2 linked regions of the Oreochromis niloticus genome follow. The protein of the gene in region 2 purifies or fractionates together with the protein of the main gene of each other region. This does not show direct contact. Links are inferred from orthologs where the notes say so. Each region holds a gene or a part of one and is shown on either strand. Other genes may lie near its edges.

Region 1 (7,353 bases), on a different chromosome or scaffold from region 2:
TATTTGCTGATCTTAGTATTCTGATAATATAACAGGATGGTGAACTTTCTCTGTTTACTCGGAAAACTGGTGCATGTCCGTGACTAGTCAGCTGTGATGAAAATAAATAAACAAACACCCCCCTCCCCAAATAGTATATTATGTAATGCTAATTTGGCAGAGGAACTACACCTAATTTCTGGTAATGGAGCTTGCTGATTTGTTCTGTTTTTCCTCCCAATTAATCCTCTTAAAATAAAGCAAATATTCTAATAAGCGCACAACAGTCATGTTTTTTTCCCCACAGTTTTAAGAGTTCGTAAATCAGCTGCTGACAGGTGTGTCTGTGTATGCATCAGTCCAGTCCAGCACCAAATCTACAAACACTTTCCAGGAATAACTTAGTCAGAAGCAACAACAGTTAGGGGGTTGGCTATGCAAAACATCAGATAAACCGTGGGTGAGGTAAACATCTTTCTCAAACACCATGCGCATACAAATACACACAGCACATGGGGGGCTTGAGGGTGTTAGAGGCTGTTATTCATTATCCACACGACTGCATTCCAGGATTGGACAAAAAAAAAAGAGTTATCGCCACCATCACTCTGAAGCAAGCGCATGAGAGGCAGACAGGGATTTAAGCAGGTTCTCAAACAAGATGCCCCCACCTGATAACCTCAGCACTGCCGTTGCACTATTCCCACATGTCCTAATGCATTTACAAATGAGAGAGAGGGAGAGATGAAAGGAAGGGGAAAGTGTGAAAAAGGTTGAATAGGAGGAGGGCAAGGCATGAGGAGGAAAAGCAGGAGGAGAGAGAGAGTGTGAACATTAACACTTAATGGAAGTGATGGAGAATGATAAGGACACCTGCTTCTCCGCTTTACAGGAAGTGACCTGTGAAGATCTGGCAACTACACCTGTGGCAGATTCAGTGTTGTCTGAGGGGAAAAGAACCTTTGCTGCTATCCTCCCCCATCTCTTTTCCCTCCAGTACAAGAAATTTATTGAGGAATTCCTTCTTTTTATTGCTCAATATCTGATTTTAGACATTTGACCTATAGATACACCACATGCACTCAGTGTTGAAAGGTCAAAACTGTGACTCCTTGCATCATAAACTATTACATAACTCATGTATCTACCTTGCCTTATCCAACAAAGAGGGTGGTCATGTGAAAGACCAGCCTAGAACAGACATCAACCTTTAACACATTCCAGGTGTCAAAGGTTGATGCAAAACTCTTACCTTTTTTAAACTCCTCCAGCATTGCGTCAAGCTTGGTGTCATTGAACACAAAATGCAACGGGTGGCTGTAAAACTTTGTGATGGTTTTGAGCGGAGTGCAATCATCCGGGTCCACGAAGGCCAGGTCCTTGACGAAGAGCAGATCCACTATATTGGACCTCTCGCCCTCGAAAACGGGGATGCGCGTGTAGCCGCTCTTCATGATCTCGGACATGGTATTGAAGTCCAGCGTTGCATCCCCAGGAATCATGAAGCAATCCCTCAGCGGCGTCATCACGTCCTCTACAGTCTTAGTCCTGAGCTCCAGCGCGCCCTGGATGATGTTCAGCTCCTCTTTCACCAGATCGTTGTAGGGGTCCGTAACGCGCAGCATCTCCAGAAGCTTCTCTCTGTTGTACACGGTTCCTATCTCCTGTCCGAGCAGGTAGTCCAACAGCTTACTGACTGGGTAGGACGCAGGGAAGGTAAGCAGCATGAAGAACTTGGTGAGGAATATGGTGTTGGCTCCCACAGCGAGGCCGTGCCTGGAGCAGATGGCCTGTGGCACGATTTCCCCAAAAATGACTATACCGATGGTGGACATGACAACAGCAATCAAGCCCGAACCGGCGATATCATCCAGCAAGATGGTTAGCGTGGTGTTCACTAACACGTTCCCGAGCAGAAGAGAGCACAGCAAATAATTCCCTTGGCTCCTGACCGGCTCTATTTTTTTGGCGTAATTCTTCTCCCTTTCCGTGCCGCAGTTCTGGACTATCTGGAGCTCCATGGGGTCCAGAGCCATGAGCCCCAGGTTCAGCCCGCTGAACATACCGGACAGGCAAAGCAACATGGAGATGAAGATGACCTGGAGCCAGAAAGGCAGCAGAAACTTTTTCTCCTCCACCACTATCACTTTGGTGTCATCCCCATCGTGGTAGATCCAGGTGTTCTCCGTCCGCGGGTCGTGCATCCCGGCCACGGCTGGTGTCGAGGTGGCGATGCAAAGGTAATACGTTTTACTCCTCTCCGTCTTTCGCAGAGGTTTGACCTCAATTTCAACTATACCGGATGTCTTTCGATTCAGGATGATGTAGGGCAATATCATTATATCCGAAGTCCTAAAACCACAGGGATGCAAGCCGGACGAGTCCTCCTGGCTCTGGTTATCCCCCGAGGAGCTGTCAATGCTCCCAACCGCCCGGCTCCGCTCATGTTCCGTGAAAGCAATTTTGGACCAGGTCTCGTTGTTGATGTTCTGCCCGTACACTCTTAATTTTACCCGAGAGCGCTCACTCACCCGCAGGTAGCCCTTATCCATGAAGGAAATGTCGTCCGTGTCCTCCAGTCGGAGCCCTATGATGACGGTCTCCTCGGACCCTTCCTTGCCACTTGTCGGGGTGACACAGCAGCCAGTGACAGTTAAGAAAATCATCGCCAAAGCTCGGACCCGGTTAAGTGACGCCATTTTTGCAGCGGTGGGTGCTTGGGATAACGGTTCTGCCATATTGATAACAACTGGCAACCAACCTCCTGAATGAAAAGGGCTTTTAAAAATCAGAGCCAGTCGGAGTCCGCCTTCATCTCCGCCCAGGGTTGCCGTGACTTGTGCATCAGGACCTGCTCGTTCCCACTACGTGTCCGACACTGATGACTCGCGAGCGCAGGCTTACGGGCCAACTCGTGCCTCCCCTGGTGTCCCCGATACAGGCGACGGCGACGACCAATCGGGAGGTTCCGCTGGCCGGGAGGCGGGGCGTCCGCAGCCTCCTTGGCGAATCAAATTCCAAAACAAGTGCACCTCATGTTAGGAGACAGGACTTTACTCGTGACTTCTTAAAACATATCATGCTAGAAAAGACAACCACAATAAGCAGTTTAAATGTCAAAAAAAGGCATGTGCAAAGATTAAAGGTTAACTAAAATAAATACTACAACATGTTTTATCTATATAGAGACTATCATAGGTTGTGACAAGTTAATTTGGTTTTTTGCTATCGCATTGCATCATCCTGCATGCTGAAACTCCGAAGCACTATCTATATCATGTCTTATTTTAATGATAGGTATTACAGGGGATAGTAATATGTTCATAGACTGCCTAACTTAAAGAGGTTAAAGTTGTCAAAACCAGAAAACACACACATACATGTACGTCATTGAGATGTGTAATACAAAAAACAATTTCTTTAACACAATTACTTCTTATTGGCCTATTTATCTTTTCCTCCTTTAAACTTAAAATGAAACTAAAATGAGAGATCCTGACCACCATGGCTTGAACTGGTGCCCTTAATCACAGCTTTTCCCAAATACAAATGTGCATTTGTACCTTTGGAAATAATGCACTACATCATAGGAGCAAAGATGAAAATAGAAGAGTCATTTCGTTAATTATTATTTATTGTGTTTTATCAGAAATAACACATAACCATCACAATAACGGGAGATAATTTGTACACTTTGGTTGAAGCACATCTTAAAGCCAGTCTGCAAAATAATTAAGCACCGATTTACTAAAACACAGGTTTTAAGGTAAGTAAAAAGTATTGTGTGAATAAACAATGTCAGTTTTATGGGTAAGAAAATAATTAGACTAAGTAGGCATATGACAAAATGAGGCACAAATGAAGAAGGTGCTCTTCTTAATACTGCTCATGGTTGTTAAAAGGTTTTAAATTTGTTGCATTTTTATTTAACCTTACTATAAAGTTTTCCTTTTATCTATACCATATAATTATGTTAATGAATTGTTACCATATTGAATCCTTTCATAAAATATTAACTGGGAGCACTTGCAGAACCCTTAAATCCCTCAAAGTGATATTGTTATCTTGTTTGCGCAAGATAATTTATAGCCTAGGTACTCAACATGTGGCCTGTGGGCCAGTGTCAGACTTCAAAAATGTTATGTGGCTTCTAATCACCCTTGATTCAACAACAGCTCAGTCAAAACCATTGTATAGTACCAGTGAAAACTGGAAGCAGGGAGCATATCTCTCCAATTTTAACTCTTTTTTTGACATTATGGCAAAATAAACCACCCTAACCTTAATTTAAAAACATTAAAAAAAAAAATAGTTGGTGCAATTTAACAATCACCTCACTAATGGTTAGCAGCAGATACCAACATGAACCACCACAATCTGATAAGACACAAAGTCAAACTAAAATTGTTTGATGTGAGATTTTTTTTCCTATGGCCCTGAATCATATGCTGGCTCCTTAAATTGGCTCATATGCACTTTAAGCAACTTCAAATACAAACACTTTGATTACACAATAAAACATTTTAAAGTCATCAGCAGAACTCATGTCCTTCACATAGTCATGCAGTATGTGAAGCAAATGATGGCTTTGTGTAATTGCAATGCAGGGTGTTCCAAAGTGAAACTAAAACTGGATTAGCTGAGTTGTCTCCATTATACACTGGGTAGGTGAAGTTGTTTGAGCAACCAGTATCAACCAGTAACATGATTATGTTTAATTAAAATGAATTAATTAATGGAAGTTCACCAAACATGTAGGCATTATTGGTAGGCAGGAAGCTGAGCCTGTTTCTTTGTGCTCTTCCCACCATCACTTGCAGCAGCCAGCAGACTGTGTGCTGCAGCATCCCCCAGTGGCTGATGCAGGGCCTTGCACACCCAACATCAGGGCCAGCTCAAAAGGGTCCTCAATGCCAGCCTGTATGAATAATTGAGCCAAGCAGAAGCATTAAAAGAACAAGCACCCAGTTACATGTATGTATCATGTAATATTTGTGTTTCATCCCAAATCACTGTAAGCAAGGTCAAAAAATTGAAGAAGTAAATCCAGGTACTATTATGGTATATTACAACAGAACACTGGCTCTTCTAGATGAAGTCTTTTTATGGCCCTGTGCTTCTTTTATCAGTTGCTGGTTGTTCATTAAGTCACAATTTCAAAGCAGCTGTTCTTTCCATGAATAAGACCAAAGGCTTTTTTATTACTATTATCAGCACACTGCTGTAGTGATTAGAGAAAACTCTTTCAGACAAGACTTCAATTCAGGGGGCAGTTCAAAATGTTAATAATGAGGTGGATTTTGATAAGCCTTTACCATTTTAATTTACTTCTATTTCCAATATCAGAAGAGAAAAAATCTTTAATGAGTGGTTAACAAGTTAGAGTACTCATTTTAAAAAAAATGTAAAGCGGTGCTGTTAGAGGTGTATGTGCATAAAATGATTGTAAGCCCTGATAAAATGGTATTCTATTAGCTGAGTGTAGAACATTCCTTCTTGTTCAAGGTTCCCCAGCATGACTCCACAGTCTGGTTATGAGTCCAAGACAGCTGCTTGACCTTGCGCTTGTGCATGTGTGTATGTATGTTTGAGGGGTACGTGAACGTCCAAGAATGTACAGCATGCAGAAGCACATGCATGTGTGTTTGTGAGCGCAGTTTGACAGAGGCGCTCTGCCCTCTGGGCGTGTCACACAAATTGATACCAGAAACACACTGACCCCTAATGTGTAAAAGAGACATCCAAGAATTTAAACACAACACTGACCTTAGGTTTGACTCCACAGGGCCCAGTGGGGCCCCCCAGTGGCTGAAAAGTGAAGTCCTCTGCAAATCTGGAATGTGTCAGTATGTTGGCCACCTCTCCATCCACCTCCACAACTTCATTGGCCTACAAAATACATCCAAATCTGAAATCATTTGCATAGTTTAAGTGAGCAGAAAGCATTACGTTCTTCTAATTCAGAATATACAGACCTTGAAGGTGTACTGACAGTCAAACTGGAAACTATCCTCTGCCCCTGTCATGCCCCCATTATATATGACTTTGCAGTTCTTGGTGTTCCCTTTGGGGACCTTAAACAAGCGGTATGTGGCAGAAACAAACTTGAAGTTGCCTGTATTAAACACACCAGATTGAAATTAAAAAATAAATAAATAAATTTCAGGTCATACACGAAGGTTAGCAGCTCTCAAAATCTAAAATAACTTGGAATCATGTAATGTTACATTAGTTGTAACTATAGCTACATAAATATAGGTTAGGAGAAAACCAGCAGTGACATTATAGTGCAGGCTAACTTAGTACTGTTTATTTGTAGGGTTAATCTATAAAATGTTCTTCTTTAAGTAGTTGTGCAAAAGGATTCTCTGATAGCATCATTCATGTCGATTGTGCCTGTGTGTACAACTGACATGAATGTCACTGGATATTTACTCATTTCCGGAGCTCTGTAAACTCCAAAGATGGCTGTTTGGGAAAATCCCAGTAGATCAGCAATTTCTGAAATAATCATACCAGCTTATCTGGCACTAACAACCACGCCACATTCAAAGTTACCTAAATGACCTTTTTCCCCCCATTCTGATACTTGGTTTGAACTTCAGCAGGTCATCATGACCATGTCGACATGCCTATGTGCACCGAGCTGTGTTCATGTGATTTGCTGACTAGATATTTGCATTAAAAAGCAGCTGAACAGATGTACCTAACAAAGTGGCTGTTGAGTGTAATTCTGTATCAAGCAAATAATGCAAAAGTCAAGCAAGTAAAAAAGCTGTCAAACCAAGAATGTCCTGCAGTTCCTTGTTGTCAACAGTGATGACACTGGCCGTAACCAGCCGTGGGGGGCTGAAGCCCACTTTTTCAGCCAATTGCAGGAGATCCTTCCACCAGAGTGCTCCAGCAAGGCACTCACCTGCAAAGATAAAACCGACTGTGATATTCTGGTGGGTGCTTGTCAATTTATGGCAGTAGAATATTAATTAGACGCACCCCATAACACTTTGTGATTTTTAATTTCCTCTGTTAGTCTTCCATTGCTGTAAATGTCACTGAAGTACAGCTCACCACCATCCTAATGAGGAAAAATGAGAAAGTGTATGTAAATGTGTAAATATTTTCTTTGCTCTCATAGCTTTATGATTGAAGATTTAATAACAATATTAAAAAAATGAGAAGCAGTGTACCTTAAGTACTTTGTAAGCTTCAGTCAGTACCATCCTCTTGTCTGGAGAAAGATTCACTACACAGTTGGAGCTAAGCAAAAGGAGATGATGTTCGAAACTGTTATTCTATGATTATATTAAGTTAGAACTGCACACAAATAAGGATTAGTAAGACACCTTACATGATAACATCGAACGAGTCATTTTC
Region 2 (7,971 bases):
CTTTTTGAGATTATGGCCACAATAAACACATTAGTTTGCGCTCATGTTGCGAGAAGCACTCACAGGGTGGGGGGTGCAAGTAAAAACACACACACACAAAAACACCTAGGCAATGGGCAAACACAGAAGGTTTGTTGTCTAGACCACCAATGCTTCAAAAATAGCACTGTTTCTAAAATCTGAGAAAGCAAGCACCTACACGCAGCTGCTCAAACAACAATAACACATATTACTATTGCATGTTCTGGCAGAGAACTCTGTGTTCCCCTGTTAACTGCAGCTCTGACAGCTGTAGCTAAACAAGGCAGGTGTAAACACAAAAAACAAGGAAGATCCTATTCCTACCTGTTGCTATAGTTTCAGCGGGAACCCCTGCAACAGCAATCTAGGAGAGGTGTCAATCTGTGAAACGCTGCCAGTGCCACTGAGCCTGCGCCTTTGCTTTATCCCAACACTGTGGCAACAACAGTAAACACTGTGCCGATCACTGCATGATTCATTAATCCACACACTTTGCAATAAACGAGCCTCTCACAAAAAGGTGCCCACTAATGCGTAACTACATATGGGCTTCACTTAATAGCTTTGAAAAGAGGTAGCACAAACAGTGGCCAACTAATCTTAGCTTGCCACTTTATACCAATTTCAAAACAACTTCTACTGAAGCCAGGAGCGAGCCCATTGTAAAACCAAAAACCTCTGGAGAGTAGCTAAATTTTAAAATCTGTTAAAGCAGTCAGTATGGAATGGCCTCCTCTGCTCTACCTTTCAACACTCAGTCCCCCCCGTGGCTTGATGGGCTGAAAGCCAGCAGGCTACAACATAGGTGTTCTTCTCCCCCAGTAACACTCCTTTGTAGGCTGATATCAAGTTACTGCACACTGGGTTCACCTTTCACAGTTACGGTAACCAAGGCTGAGAACTTCCCATCTTGTCACAGGGCAGTTTCTTTTTCTATGCTCCTAGTAGGCATAAATTTGCAACCAACCAGCGTATTCAGTCTTTACACAACAAGTTTGATTTGGCTGAGAAAATAGCAAAACTCAAATAAGGATAATTCAAGTTTGGCTTAAAAGTTACAGGTAATAGAGGTTTGCCTTGCAGAGTCAGATCACAAAAATGAGTGTCCACCCCAGCAGTACAGGGCTGACTTTAGCTGAGGGATGTGCTATATAAGCAGATTGAGTGAGAGTTGCTATTTCTAGATTGGCCAGAGCATCATGTGTCAATTAGCTACAAAATAAAGCGGGTCATCTGTTCAAATGACCTACTTCCACAAAGAATAAAATGCCAGTGGAGTCTAAAAACTCCAAAGCACTACAATACTGAAGTTGTGAAAGTCTAGCCTTTTATGAAGCAAGAGTATAGACCTTATTGATTACCTCAATTTGATAGTACGATTACATTACTCACTGCAACTTTCTATTATTTCTGTTGTAGTGTGCCAACATTCCCTTAGCTTGTTTTCCTGAACGCAATCACTCACCTCATCCTCTCAACAGGCAAACCAGGTCACCTTGCAGTGACTCATAAGCGGGAATATATAATTAGCTTACCTGTTACACCAGTTACTGATTGACTCATCCGCCCTGTTGGTAGGATGGCTATTCGCGTGTATTAGCCGCCCACTAGAATTTACTACCAGAGGGGAGCCTCAAATCAGTGGAAGGTCATAAATTGAAAACTGAGAGGCATGGGAATGTGCCGCGGCCTTTAGTGTCACAGCTGCTCTAGGCAACTTCCTCCCGAAGTGCATTTCCTCATTTCACTTCAACCCACATGGCTAAATGGCTGGGCGCTTTCTGTTTTAGGAAACCAGACGAGGCTAAATTATAGACCCACCTAACTCCAGTGTTGGCCATTTTTTTCTCTCCTTTTTTCGTTGAAGCCGAGCAAATTTTCCGACTCCAACCAGACAGCCAGCAATAAAGACAAGGAGCACGACAGTCCAGTCCAAAAGGGAACCGCGCCGACAAACATAAGCAGACATGCCATATCGTTTGTCGGTTTAAAAAAAACAAAACAACAACAACCCGTCAGCCTGGCAATTGGCCTTTAGCATATGGGTCAACTATACTGCAGGTCAAGATTTTGTCACAAAGGGCGGAAGGCAGTTGGCTAGCTTAGTCGCCATCTAGTTACCACGCAGCTTTTCACAACTACAAATAACTTAACGCATCTTATACACGTAACATTAGCACTACTAGCCAGGACAATTGTTAACGTTAACACAAGTATTCATTGCCAATATGATACACGTTGTTCAGAAGAAATTCTACGGTAACCTGTACACCCTTGCACCGTATAGCGCTAAGGTAGCGCTAGCACTTGTGGTATTCCGAACGACGGTCAGTTTAGAAAACACCACGTTATGAATACAACTAAACGTATCCTGTTCTAAAAGAAAAATACAAGCCACGACACAGTCGTGTCAGTAGTCCTAATGCTAGTCAGAGATTTTCTTCTTTTGGTTAATAGCCATAGCCGCGATAGCAAGCTAGCGCAGCTACGTTAGCTAGCGGGATAGCTAACGCACTTTGCTTTTAGCAGCAATCTTTTAGACCAGCAGCACGGCAACACTCAAGACAAAGGTAATTAACTCAAGTGTAGATATCACAGATATCTGAGGCAGTGAGAATGAACATTCATACCTTTAACGGGATTTTCAACACTGATTGTAGCACACGATTAAACCGTCTTAAGCTTTGCTCTGCGAGCTACCATTAACGTGGCTACATACTGGACACTCTTCTCGGACGACCCCTCATGCAACTTACTTTGGCTGCCCGGCAGTGTGGCGATCACCTAACATATGGAACTCAACTTTTAAGTGGGCTCTAACGGATCTATAGCGCTAGAATTACATACAATCGAGGCAGAAAGAAGTTCCCAGAGGTTTGCTTAGATCCGTCATTGAGTACTTACAAAGACCAAGCTGAACATTGAAATCCCGTGACTACCCCGGAGAAAGTGGAGGGAGTGCAGAAAGCGCTGTCAGATCGCCTTTTTGTTCCTCTTTAGTGTGGCAGCCTGAGATCTCGTCGGAGGTCGGGAACTGTTGTCGGGGAGGAGCCTCCTCCTCAGTTTGTACAAGACCTTCAGGGACCGTCGGAAATATGTAGACCAGGCAGTGCGAGTTAATAGTCAACAAAATGAGGGCCACCAGAGAAATCTGTAAACCTCGGAAAACTTTAAACGACAGACACGTGTATCCCAGATCATCCTAGCATTTTTTTTTTCTTGTTTGTTTGAGTGTTTCCTTGACACCAATTTAACTATCAGGAAGCGGAAACTGGAATAAATTTCAAGTGACATGCATGTCAACATCTGAAGGGATTAGCTTTAAGATCGTTCCTCACTTTGCTTTAGTGTAGGTAACTTTTCATATATTCTATTACCTCTCTCAATAACAGCACAAGTATGTGCATCAGGTCGTATCTGCGGTCACTGCGCCAGAATTACCGGGATCTCTCGAATGCAGCATGGATGGTCTGACGTCAGTACGACGTAAGAAGAATCCGGTTGACTGATGACAGCTCACCATGGTGACGACAGTTCCAGAAAGTAATAGCACCATATTATCCCTGTACTCATGGGCTGTTTTTTAAAAATAGATTTTACTTTCTTATCTAAGCACATTTTGGATTGGCTACAAGATCCGTTTTGTTTCGAAAGTATAGACTGTTGAATCGCCTCCAGTCACGCATCAGAGTTAGTTTAGTTGTTTTCATTAAAATCCAGCTCATTCATATGTTTGTTTATCCGCACTTAATGTAGTTATCTATCCATCCATTTATGCTCTTCTGCTTATGTGATAACCCATATATTCAACATGCAAAATATTTATGCAAAGATTTATGTTGCTTCCATCTACATCCAGCGAGCTGACCTGAAAAGGAAAAGCCTACCTGTTCCTCTTTTCAATCCTAAACTTACTATCCAATCACCCTTCTGTCTGAGGCCTGAAACGCTGTTTATAATTGTATATCTCCCTCTAGTGTCAGTTCTTTTACATGCAACAGATTGCTCTGCACACGAGCTACTGAATTTTTACCTAGTGTTACTGATTTTTTTTAAAGATGTAGCAGTAGCCTCTGTATTCCAGTTAATATATATTTTCTTTGTTACATAACCATACAATAGAAAGTCAATGAAGTTTCACGCCAGCATACAAGGCATTTTTTTTCTTTGTTTTTATTGACGTGGTATCAATACAATCAAGTACTGTAGATTTTGTATAAGCAGACAAACATTTTCAATCAAAAAGGAGTGCATTTTATACCCAAATTCTATTGCATAGTGCACACAATAGCCTTGTAAGACAAAAAAAAAAAAACCTATACGTTGATACATTGTACATTACACAAATAGAAAATAATACAAATAATCCTTCACAAACAACTCTAGAATGCTAACTACAAGTTGTAAATGCTCTTAACTCATCGATGCTGTTAAATACCATTTATATGTCCCAGGCTTCGGTGGTCAGTTTTGGCATCCCTATTAAATTATCATAAATGTATAAATACATCTTCATTAATTTCATGTGCAAATGGGAATGGCCGTTTGTATACTGAAACTAAAACAAACAAATATCCCTTAAGAACCGAAGCAAGGCTTGTGATTTTTTTTTCTTTTTTTTCTTTTTTTTCTAATAAAGAAAAACAAAACATTTGATGCGGTACATGGATCTCACTGACACTTGTTAAATGATTTGCACACAGAGCAAACTCAGCAAGCAAGTGACATTGTCTATGAAAATATGAGGACAGAGCGTAACAGCCGCATGTAACTCTCATCACCGTTTCACCGTGTGTCGAAAAAGAGGAGGTGATTCAAAAAAATAAAAGGCAACATACAGTACATAACGAGACTGCTTTGTAGACTCACATAGCAACAATGATACATAGCAGTTGTCGGTGTGTTCATGTTATGAGACAGAAAGGGCTAAGAGTAAGTGCATTACATAGATGTAGAAATACTGATTAAGCCTTATCCTCACACTAATTTTCCAAAGCGATGTGAAGAGTTACTGTTTATGCACTGTGACCCACCATAAAACAGTCAAACATTATACATTCATTCTAATGGGAAGGCTAAATGTTTGGCACCATGCTCGTGTACATTGACATTCTTCCATCATGATGTAAGGTAGTCATAATTCAGTGTTTACGAGCGTCAGGGTGGCACAAGTTAGAAGCACCAAGCTTTGTTCTGTTTTGCCTAGGTCTCGTTATCTTTTGTGATTCGTAACTGAAACTAGTGAATAAACATTTTGTACATTTCATAGTATGTCTTTTTTTTCTTTCTTTTTTCTTTTTTTTTGTTGGTTCGTGACTTGGCACAAAGTAGTTATTGCACGCCTTTACACCTTTCATCTTTAGAGTGTTGTAAAGTAAATCTTCTACAAGATTCTCTTTAAAACTAAAAAAAACCTCAAAACCTTCTGGTAGAACATTGATGGGACTGTAAGCCGTTCCTACAGTTTTGTAACTTAATTTTAGTTTATTATTATCCTTGCTAAAGTTTTCGTGACCTGAATGCCAAGGGGACATTGTGACAAATCCGCACACACAAACGCACGCAGTGACACAGTGACGGGCTGAAGGGTATACCTACTAAGCATACAAGTGCACGCATGCACAGAGTGGATCTTTAATACTTCATCCAACAGAAATGAATAAACACACCTCTGACCTACCACCTCTCCCAGAAATCTGGCGTGGTTTTGTTAAAATGTTACACAACCTGCATTTCTCAATCTTCAGGCCCCAGTCAGACCCTTTCACCTATTTATGGACTAAAGACAAATTGATTCTCATTTCCAGCCGTGCACTTTGACATTATCCAGTTCTGAAACATCCTGGCCACAGATGTTACACTAAGCTCAGCAATTAAACAGTTTTTGACACATTTGATTTAGAAATAACTAGAAAATCCTGTCATTCAGAGCTACAAATGATTAAAAATTGCTCTCATTTGCCTAACATCTATCATAAACAACACAGGAACTGGCAGTGAAGGAAGTAATTAAGTTGTTGTTGTTTTTTACTTATCCTTTTGCCTCCTTGTTTTCTCAGCAGAGTCAGGCTTTCAAAATCTTTGTGGATTTTGCATCATGTTGTTAAAGGATTATATTTTCTTCTAATATGGCAGTGCAGATTGCTCCCTTGGAATCAGGGAAAGGGTTTTTAATGACATTAGAAATCAGTGACGTGATGGTTAGAATATGTGAACAGGATGCCTGGGATAGTGATGGGAAAAAAAATCAGATCGATAGAAGGAAATAGGCCATTGAATCAGCAGTATATGTGTCCTTACTGTCCATTTGTCCATGGACAGTAAGGACACTATCTAGTTTCTGGCCTGTGAACACTGACTGTGTACATTATTAACAATGTCCTAAAGAATGATGCTGGGGGGTGATGCGGGGGTCTTGCTTGATGATGCTGATCTCTTTAAAGGGCAATTTAAAGGTGTCTGCCTTGTTAATGTGAGGTCATGTTTATTTGTAGAATTAATTGTTCTGAACTGCACGTAAACTAAATTACAAGAAAGAGGAAGACCTATTATCTGAAATGGTAGGTTACTAAATGCATAATGAAGCAGAGAAACTCCCTGAACAGGTGCTTATGTTCACTATCAATAAATATATCTCACTCTAAAACCAACTGTTGCTGAGTTCAATCCTAACTTTTTTTTTATGTAGCAACAATTTAGAGTCCCAAAAATTTCAGTAAAAGTAAATAGTAACACAGCAGACCAAATACTTAGTTTTGCTATTGTACTGTATGCCTATATTTATTGTGTTGTATTTTGGCTCTTCAGTATAATTATAGCAATTCATGATTTAAATAATACACCAGGGGAACATGACTGCAGCGAAGACCCCCGCCCCCCCCCATCAGAGTTTGGTGATGTCGTCCTTGTGTCAGAGCATGTGGGCAGGTTGTGCAGTCACACGGGAAGGTTTCTAGCACATTACAAAGTAAGGCACTAAATAGTCTGAATCCAATAAACAACAACAACAATGATGACATGGACCAAATAATAACAATAAAATTATGACAATATAATAATTAAAATAAGCTAAAAGCTTAAAAAAACACCAACATAAAACACAACTAAAACACACATTTGAAGGACACTGAAATAAAGAACACAGTATGAATTTCCTTCCCCTGCCTTTAAAAACTCACTTCATTCACAAAGTTTTTGTTTCATTTGTGCTGTTGAGGGCGAGACAGATAAAGACTATGGCAATAATATTGAGTATTTTATGGGTTTTGTGTTTCTATAATGGCTGCAGGTATTTTAGGTTAAGGGCTGCACTGAGGTGCCAATGTAGCAACATCTTTTAAGGAAAAGATAGGGTTATGTGGGACAGAGCAAGAATCCTGAGAAGGAAGAATGGATGTACTCTGTAGAATATAGGCCATTTGCCTGATCTGACGGCATCTGGACCCATACCTGGTCACCCTCCTTCAGCTCTAAGACTGCACTACCAGATGCCTGGTCCATGTAGCCTTTCTTGTATTCATCATATGTGTAAGTGGCTGGTACATTGTTCTTATACAATGCTACCCACAGGCTAGTTCCCTTTACATGCATGTGGTATGCAAAGTAGTATATACCAGATAAAGGAGCAGTGAATATGCCAGTAGAAGAGCTGTAGGCATTTTGCCCATTGTAGAGGGTCCTGTCAAATTTGATTGGCATGCCTGAAGGAGGGAATGGTGTGGTAAGGACAGCTGTGAAGGCTGGTGCCACAGAGGCAGACAATGGAACTTGACTATATGCAGGGCCTTTCCTGTCATCTGGAATTTCTCCCCCATCTAACTTTGAACTCTCTGGCCCTGCGACAACTGTATGGCCATTTCCTGGAGGCCCAGGGGGTCCTGGAGGCCCAGGGGGCCCAGGTATGCCATTAAGTCCAGGGGGGCCTTGTTTCCCTGGAGGACCCTGGGGACC

The links. The genes of interacting proteins can lie anywhere in the genome.
Region 1: the proteins of ptp4a2b (region 2) and cnnm2b purify together in Homo sapiens (affinity purification with mass spectrometry; 4 studies listed by BioGRID and IntAct, counting the BioPlex papers as one, with this or other methods). This does not show direct contact. The link is inferred for Oreochromis niloticus from reciprocal best matches to the Homo sapiens genes PTP4A2 and CNNM2.

The regions. Positions count from the first base shown.
Region 1 is NC_031971.2:33,163,112-33,170,464, reverse strand, and holds the start of cnnm2b (metal transporter CNNM2), read right to left. Parts: upstream 3,062-7,353; 5' UTR 2,718-3,061; coding exon 1,232-2,717; intron 1-1,231. Other genes in the region: as3mt (arsenite methyltransferase), read right to left, coding at 4,790-4,897, 5,746-5,868, 5,955-6,094, 6,764-6,895, 6,973-7,054, 7,167-7,236, 7,328-7,353.
Region 2 is NC_031985.2:25,785,934-25,793,904, reverse strand, and holds the start of ptp4a2b (protein tyrosine phosphatase type IVA 2), read right to left. Parts: upstream 3,084-7,971; 5' UTR 2,926-3,083; intron 2,783-2,925; exon of another isoform or gene 2,652-2,782; intron 1,706-2,651; exon of another isoform or gene 1,557-1,705; intron 1,506-1,556; exon of another isoform or gene 1,487-1,505; intron 424-1,486; exon of another isoform or gene 346-423; intron 1-345. Other genes in the region: col8a2 (collagen alpha-2(VIII) chain), read right to left, coding at 7,375-7,971.